2 linked regions of the Bombyx mori genome follow. The protein of the gene in region 2 interacts with the protein of the main gene of each other region in a biochemical or structural test. Links are inferred from orthologs where the notes say so. Each region holds a gene or a part of one and is shown on either strand. Other genes may lie near its edges.

Region 1 (4,430 bases), on a different chromosome or scaffold from region 2:
AGGGCGAAGCAAAGTATGCAACACTATTTTGCATATGTTACAAGTTTAAGTAGATGATGACCGAGCTTTGCTTGGCCTTTTTTTTTTATAACGCCATCTTGTTGTGTCTTTAAAGCAGTATTATAATAGTAATAGTATTATTATTCGCCAATAGATGTCGAGAAGAGTCATAAATTAAAGTTGATTATTGAAAACACGAACAAAACAACATTTTCTGAAAATAAATCGTAGCTGGATCGATTTATCGCCCCCGAAATCCCCTGTATACTAAATTTTATGAAAATTGTTGGAGCCGTTTCCGAGATTCAGATTATATACATATATATTAATATACAAGAATTGCTCGTTTAAAGGTATAAGATAGTAAGAGCGTCCTTGTGAGGTAGTAAATGGTTTGATTATGGAATTTAATATTTGCTAATAATTTTTTATGAGAGAAGATAGCAATAGTCTAGAATAATAGATAGAAGTAATAGATAGTGGTAATAATCTGTGCATTTATTCATCCTTGGTTGGTAATACAACAAGACTCCCAACTCATGTCTCAGTGGGATACATAGCCCACCTGGTGGTAAGTGGTTACTGGAGCCCATAGAAATCTACAACGCAAATGCACCACCCACATTCAGATATAAGTTCTAAGGTCCTCAGTATAGTTACAACAGTCAGTATGGTTCACATGATTTTATAGAATCTCGGAGCCACATAACAATATTACTACTGAATTTAATAAGAAAACACTCACCAACATTAGCAACAAATAGTTTATTTTTGTGCACTAAAGCTACGACCACAGTAGCACCTCCGGACAGATGCTGGTCTATTTCTTTTAAGCGAGACAATATAATTTGGCGATTCTGAAATTTAAATTAAAGCACTTGGATAAAAATCCTCTGACACTAAAACATAAACATCCACATTCTAGCATATAATATTTTAATTTAAGGTTATTAATAACGATAATAATTGTATTTATATATGTCGACTTTTGTCCTAAATATTTTTATATTTTTTTAATATTACCGTACATTTGAACAATGGCAGTGTGAAAATGAAGTAAAAGTATACCTTGTATTTTATGATTAATATACCTTAAATGTTGTTATATAAAAGAATAATCGAAACTGCCAGTACATTCTAATCTTTTGTATATACAAAACAAAGAAGAAATCAAAATGAGTACCTGAGTCTCACTAGAAGTCTGCAGCTGATATTGCAAACTAGTTCTCTCTGCTATCATTCCATCATAGTTTTCAATGTATGCTTTCTCAACTGACACAAAGGCATTCCTATATATAAAACGAATTAATATTAATATCTCGACCCATGTTCCATCTTTTATACCATCTACGCTCTATTTGCTCAGCGTGTATTTTATTTGCAAAATCTTCCATATATATATAAAAATGAATTGCTGTTTTTTTTTATTGCTTAGATGGGTGGATGAGCTCACAGCCCACCTGGTCTTAAGTGGTTACTGGGGCCCATGGACATTCATAAGGTAAATGGCCCACCCACCTAAAATGCTGTTCATTGCTGACCGATTTGGCTAATTTTGGTCTTGAATTATTGGTGGAAGTCCAGAGAAGGTTTAAATAGAAGATATATATCATGAAAATGCTCGGAATTAAATAAAAATGACAATTTTGTTTTTCCTTTGATGTGTCCCCTCCCCTGTTGAACAGATTCCTTTTGTTTGTTTTAAGTTTATTTTATACAAAACTTTAGGTCTTTTATTTATCGATTGAGGCACTACGAAGTCTGCGGGGTCAGCTAGTAATTGATATTTTATCCTATTTGTATAAAGTATATTTCATAATCCAAAGCAACAATAGTATCTCTCTTATACACCCTTATTTATTTATGATAAATATATATATAGTTTTTACCTAAGTCTGTCTCGTATCTCTTCATCTGTGTTGGCTGAGGGTGGTGGAAATAATATTTCAGCTGCCATTCTTTGCATGATAAGCCTGGCCGCTTCAAGACCATTGTGTGGCTCAAATACTCCATATAAACAACTATGAGAATAACATTTAGTTTAGTTATAAGTTTGTATTTGTATTAAGAAGCGAATTTTGGTGTAATTTATATTTTTTTTCTATATTAAGGTAAACTTAAATGCAAACTTATTTTTAATGCTCTTCATTTATTTAAATAAAGAAATTAAGGATAATATCAACTGCTAAATCTTTTAAGAGTATTTGTAATATCATTTATTCACTATGCAGATGCAAGATGCTTTTTGCAGAAACAGCAATACAAAACAGGGTTGAGGACTTGCAACATTTTGACTTGAGAAAGTTGATATTAAAAGCTCTTGTTTATTTACAAAACTTTAATAATAATTGATGAACTTCGGAATTTAACTACGTATTTCTAAATTTAAATGACCGGGTTTTTTCTTCACCTATAGTTACATTTGCCGTCATGAATTCTATCTTGGACACAATGAAGACAGAGACAAATTTAATGTATTTTTTTAACCCTATACTATTGTGACATGGTTAGATATACAAAAGTTATGATAAATTAAACTTACAAGTTATCCTCTGTTTGACAGAAAAAACATAAATAATCATCGTTAGCATTTGAGTGTCCTCCGAGCTTTGAAAAATACGAAGCTACACACGTATTCCTGCACTTCGGAAGATCGTCAGTCCACGGTCTTGCTATCATATTGCTATTTTTACCACTAACACCTCAATTCACAGCTCAAATATTACTTTTATTTTTTATTTCATGAAACAGACCTTTTGTTGAAAAATGACCAAAATTTCTTAATATAGAGCTAAGACCAAGTTGAGACTTGATCATCTTAAATCATCAAAACGATTTTTTAGTTTTAGAGAATGCTAAATTTTGAATCGGTTCTTAATATTGTCACTTTATCATTTTACTTTCATTTTTACACTAGTTGTACGGCAAAGTTAAATAAATGAAAGTACCTAACATATTAGACATAAAGGTTCAGCTAATATTTACAAAATATTTATTATATTTTCTTCGCAAAAGTAAAACTGAATCGAATGACAGGAATCGAATCGATTCCCAAAAACTGAAGGTTCGTAAACTCAACAACCCTTCTGTCGCCCCTTCTGTGCAGTTTCTATTTTTATTTTAATGACACTTATTTTTTTCGTTCAAAAATTTAAAGTACAATTCTAGAGTTCAGAAGTTTTCCTAACACTATTGAAATTTAATAAAAATAGTCGTTAACTATCGTTTGACTATAACTTAAATTCTTATTTTTGCCACAACATAGAAATTAGATGTAAGAAAATCTTTTTTCTATATTTTACCACTTAGTGTTCGTTTGTTCACTTAACTAACGTCCAGCCCAGTTTTTGTTTTTTTTTACTCATCAAACATACGGTACATTTGAGATAGTACAGTACTAATAGAAAACTGGCATGTCAAACCGTATTTGAAGGCAAGTCCCACGCCTTGGTTAGTGATAATAAGAAAGGACAAAGTAAATATTAAGGGACTGTAATGAGACCATTAACTCTGAACGTCAGCTAATTTTTTATCCATTAAGGCTGATAATGCATAGTATTTTTTTCGTGTTGATGATGCCTTCATTTAATTTTTAAGCCACGATGATTTCATAGTTAGTAATTAATCATCAAGACAGAGCGATGAGACCGGTGTTCGAATCCCACAGGCAGGTACCAATTTTTCTAATAAAATATCTTATCGTATCACACGAAATGTCCATGTAAGACGGTGTAAGATGGTTCCACGGTGACGGAATAACATCGTGCAATAAAACTAAAAATCCGTAAAAATTATGATTTACGTAATTTCTAGGACGTATGTTCGCATAACCCTGCCCGTGTCGGCGGTGTATCGCGTTCCTGCAGGCCGGATCTGACCCAGCGAGGTCCTGGTCGTAGTATTGACCGCGAGAGTCCCCCTAGTTTGACCGAGTTCTGACCCCGGGCGGAAATCGGACGTCGGGTGTGAGAGTGCAAGGGGAGTCGTTTGGTGTAGTAGAGTCCTAGATATATCCTTGAGCCCGCAGCCTGCCTCCAACATCTGCAGACCATCAATTCTCATATACCCCGCGTGCTCCATAGCCGCGGATACCTCATAGGAGGCTCGGCCGTCGTACTGTTAAAGTTGAAACTTGTTAAGAGCTCCGCCCGGCTCTGTGTGCTTAGTGCGAGTTTTATAACGTTCTCGATAGCGTAAAAGTTAGCTCATATTTGTATAGAATGGGATCGTTTGCCTACGTTTGCCGCTAGGGGCACTGTTCCAACTGCATACAGAATTGAGTTCACTTTTACGCTGTCGAGAACGTTAAAAAACTCGCACTAAGCAAACTGGTGACTTCTTATCACGAGGCGGGCCGTGAGCTTATCTACCTATCCTATCAATAAAAAAAATACTTATATTATAGCAGGATTCCTGTCGAAATCTCATTA
Region 2 (4,531 bases):
TCGCATAGTGCTGACATTATTTCCGTTACCTGAAAAAAGTTTCAAGTATATCAGTGTTTGATAAATACCCTAAAATGTTAGTAGATGAATATAAAAAAAAATAGACATTTAAAAGTAAGCCCACGAGAATTATAATTTGTGTAACTGCCATTCAATTGAGACATATACACCACAAGCTGCATGGCAGCATTCACATTGTAATGTCTATAGGTTTTGGTAGCCACATAACATGATTTTTTTTGTGACACATGCACAAAGTTCAGTTACATTTTCGTTTTGGTAATTCTGTTTGTAAGATGTTTGTAAAATGCAATCCAAACGTAACTGTAATACATGATTTTATAAATAATAGTCTCACTTATAAAATAGCTTCATGTGAAAGCTGAATTCTGACTCTTTACTGTTTAATATTTGATGAAGTAAAATTTAAAAGACAGCCAAACTGCTCAGTTCAAAAGGTTGCACCTTGAGAGCAATTAATAGTTAAAATGAAACATACCTTGGCCATGCTTGGTCTTTGTGCTGGTATTTTGTGCCAACATTGTGTCATCAGCTGCTCTATTGGCTCCGGGCATCCCTCTATTAGATTTGGTCTTTGACCTGAAAATTCACAGTTATGTAACTGAAATTCAGGCATCAGCATATTATTAATTCAATTACCCTAAATATTAAAATGATTGTGATAAATACACACAAGTCAACAATAGTAATTTTTTTGTCTTGAAAAAATTTTTTGGTCATATCCCTATTTTCTACACTTAGGTTATTAACCACAATTTCTATTGTGATGTAGAGATTTTCCATTAAGATCTTTTTTCTTAAAGTTTATCCTGTTTTCACACACACACATAAATACAGGGTCTTAGTAGCAGGTTAGGATAGTAGCACTGAACTCTTCATTTCCATAAGCAAGAGTAACCAATTATGATAGGTGACCCAATTATGACAGTACGCTTCGAGATGTGATTCTCAGTTTGATCCACTTTATAATCAAGCAAGTGTGAAATTTTTAACACACAGTCAATCGAAACTTGTTCGCAACCATAATAGATTTCTTAAAATTTAATAGCACGAATTTTTTTGTCATAATAAGCATATTGGATGAAAATTAGTAAGTTTTACCATAATATCTAATCAACGATCAACTATTGTATCTTCACTAAATAACAATTTAAATAACAGATCAAACCTGTATGCACCGCCCACATTATTCTATATGCAGAACCACCTTCTTCAAATGGTTTCCTCCTAGATAATACCTCCCACAGTATTATCCCCCATGAGAACACATCACATTTTTCTGTGTATGTTGATCCTTCAAATACCTGAAAAACATTAAACAGTAATGTTTTAAAAGCTTTGAATTATAATCTTCCTATTCATTTATTTCTTCTATCTAATATAAGGCATTGTGGTTAAATAATATTTAAAAGCATAATGATTTAAATTTTAAATTCAGCTAAGCTTAAAATATTTCTATACGCTAAACAATTTGCTGAGTAATTTGTAATTTCACCTTATCTTATTACACACAATGAAATTCAAGTTATTTTGGTTTGGTTTCAATAACTATTAGTACTTTAAAGTTTTTCCTTTTATAATCCATGCAATTAAGTTTCATTGTGGCTTTTATTTTTATAAAAAAGTTATAAAAGTAAATATTGATTTTATTTTCCGTACTCTTTTTCAAAGATAATGTTTGTCCTTATAATTTTAAAATACTATTAGATGCTGGTAATAATATTATAAAACTGAATGAAGCAGAAAAAGTAACAAACACAAAATAATAGTTATTTCATTTTCATCGTCATTATAATGATCTTAATTATTTATAGTCAAGTTTAGTTTATACATATAGTTTAGTAGTAAAGTTCTATTATTGCATTACACTGTTTTTGGAATACAAACCTCAGGAGCCATCCAAGCAGCACTGCCTTTATTATTCGTCATGTATGTTGCCTTATCAGCTGCTGTGCCAAAATCACAAATCTTCAGGCGTTGCCCTCCACCCACTAATAATAGATTGGGTGGTTTTAAATCCCTGTGTATTAATGGTTTTGGTTTCATGGAGTGAAGGTATGCTACACCCTAAAACAATGGTATTTTTAATCCATTGCACAATTAAAAATAATTTTGTATTTAAGATAATACTTAATATAATACACTGGCTTTTGTATTTTGATGATCAATAGTAAATTATTACCTCAGCGCACTGGCGGGCCCAGCTCATTGCATGTGCTGCTGTGTATTTGGGTTTGGGTCGGTTGTGTAGTACATTATAGAGAGAGCCACCTTCTGCATACTCCATGACGAGGCATACGTGAGCACCCCGCGTGCACGCTCCGTACAATCGCACAATGTTTGGGTGACATACGCGAGATAACTGGCGTACCTCGATCGCAAATTCACGTTTCTCCGCCTCTGAATTTATGTGCTTTACCGCTACAAATCTGTTCCGCCATACACCCTTCCAGACAACACCGAAGGCCCCTTTCCCTACGACCTGTCGAATTTTTAAGAATCTCAGAACATGCTATTAAAAACTTTGATTTTGTCAAAACGTATCTGTGTCCAAATATTTACCGAAAGCTCCTGTATTTCACTGTAATCAATCTCCTCCACAAACGTCTGCTGATGAACTGGCGAGTCTTGCACATTGGAACTATTGGAAGCCATTGGTACACTTATTATCACATTATCAATATGACTAGAAAGATTATACAAGCCTTATGTGTTACAAACTAATAAGTTTTCTTTATAAATTGGTAAAAATAGTTGGTTAACTCAATTTCTTCAGTATTGTTTGGCAGAAAAAAGCAACTGCGACAAGGCCGCCATCTTTGAAACTGTAGAACAAATGTCATATTTCGATAGAGATGTGCCGAGCTCATTGTTGACATTGATCTATCGGTAGGATTTACAAAAAAACTGTGGTTTTTACACTTTGAGTACAGAAATAGCATTTAATTAATAAGAATAATATGCCAAATTAATTAATTATTTAAGTTTTTTTCTGAGAATGAGATGTTTATTTCTCCCGGATTAGTAGGTATATTAGTTATGACCATTTTTTAAAATATATTTTCCTGTTTAATGGTTGTTTTTATCCTCATCTAATATATAAAATTCTCGTGTCACAATGTTCGTTCCCATACTCCTCCGAAACCGCTTGACCGATTCTCATGAAATTTTTTATGCATATTCAGTAAGCCTGAGAATCGGCTACTATCTATTTTTCATACCCCTAAGTGATTAGTGTTGTCCACCCCTAACATTTTATTTTTTATTTGGACTTTTTTTTTTGTTATAATGAGGTATTATGTGGTTGAATGAGGTTTTGTTATTTTATTATATATTCCCTCATCGTTCACAGCACTACATACCTCTTTCACTCATTTACCACATCCTTACACACTTACAATAAGTTAGTTTTTTTTTCTACCCTAGAAATTCCCTAGAAATCTTATATATGGCAAAACAATGTTTGCCGGGTCAGCTAGTCATTATATAAAATCTTCTACATTTCGAGCCTGTGTTGTTCCAGATTGGCTATAGCTTACAGTTTATTTACAGTTTTTACCGTCTGCGAGTCACATTGAAGGCGAAGACAGTTGTATCTGGGAGCTCCTTCTTTTTGGTCGTTCCCTCAATGCTGAGGATCGTGACTGTATGTCAATCTTCTCCACTCGGTCCGGTTCTGCGCCATATGTACCGCTCCCCATATCTGGGAGCTCCTAGATCCATTCATCTCTTGGTTAGAAATACTAAAAACCTAGAGTTGTTTCTCTGATATGTAGGTATGATGTTAAAGTACGAAGCAGTTAATATTTGAGACCGTGGAGGTCTCACACCTTAAAGATGAAATTAAGGTTCAAGACACCTCAATTTCAATATTTAAAATTAATGCAGTTAGTATATTGAGTCATTATCGAATTTTAATTTCGCCGGTTTAAGGGAGTAAGTAAAGCTAAATTGGCTTCTAAAACGGGGGTCTTCCTTAGGAAAAAGATTTTCCTCTGGTCGTACTTGCACTCATAAAACGCAGCGGTCTAGGTCAAATCGTTATGCAGTAGGGTCTTTGAAGAAATCGCAACCCTTCCATACTTTAAAAATTACTCTTGCGCCATTTGGTAGTCTGCCTATATAAGTAAATGCTGCAAAATTGGCATTGGAATAACTTACGATTTAGCTATGATATATAGATAAAAACAGTTTTGCCAGAGAAACAGGCAGAATGATGATAAGGACCCGTGCGTGCTTACAGCACTCTCTACCACAAAAATCAGCATAAGATTTAAGGGGAGAGTTGGCGAAAATATTGGGCGACTAGTTTTTAAGTACATATGTATTAAGTAGTATTTACGTATGTACCATGCGTAATAGTTTAGTGAATGAATAAATGGTTGCGTTAAGATTGTAATTACCTATATGTATATAAAAGTAAGTATGGCATATAGGTAAGTTATTTTACGCATTTTTGTTTGAAATCTTCAAATTAGGTCATCTGCAGACAGGCAGTTCGGAGCGTCCA

Evidence for each region.
Region 1: of the proteins of mitogen-activated protein kinase kinase kinase 7 (region 2) and tab1, one has a biochemical effect on the other in vitro, tested with the Homo sapiens proteins (4 studies listed by BioGRID and IntAct). The link is inferred for Bombyx mori from reciprocal best matches to the Homo sapiens genes MAP3K7 and TAB1.

Annotation. Positions count from the first base shown.
Region 1 is NC_085132.1:1,622,520-1,626,949, forward strand, and holds the start of tab1 (tak1), read right to left. Parts: upstream 3,127-4,430; 5' UTR 2,680-3,126; coding exon 2,543-2,679; intron 2,022-2,542; coding exon 1,890-2,021; intron 1,290-1,889; coding exon 1,184-1,289; intron 858-1,183; coding exon 746-857; intron 1-745. UniProt on the Homo sapiens protein: Key adapter protein that plays an essential role in JNK and NF-kappa-B activation and proinflammatory cytokines production in response to stimulation with TLRs and cytokines.
Region 2 is NC_085109.1:9,467,008-9,471,538, forward strand, and holds the start of mitogen-activated protein kinase kinase kinase 7, read right to left. Parts: upstream 2,881-4,531; 5' UTR 2,677-2,880; coding exon 2,584-2,676; intron 2,504-2,583; coding exon 2,204-2,503; intron 2,089-2,203; coding exon 1,909-2,088; intron 1,326-1,908; coding exon 1,190-1,325; intron 601-1,189; coding exon 500-600; intron 30-499; coding exon 1-29. UniProt on the Homo sapiens protein: Serine/threonine kinase which acts as an essential component of the MAP kinase signal transduction pathway. Plays an important role in the cascades of cellular responses evoked by changes in the environment.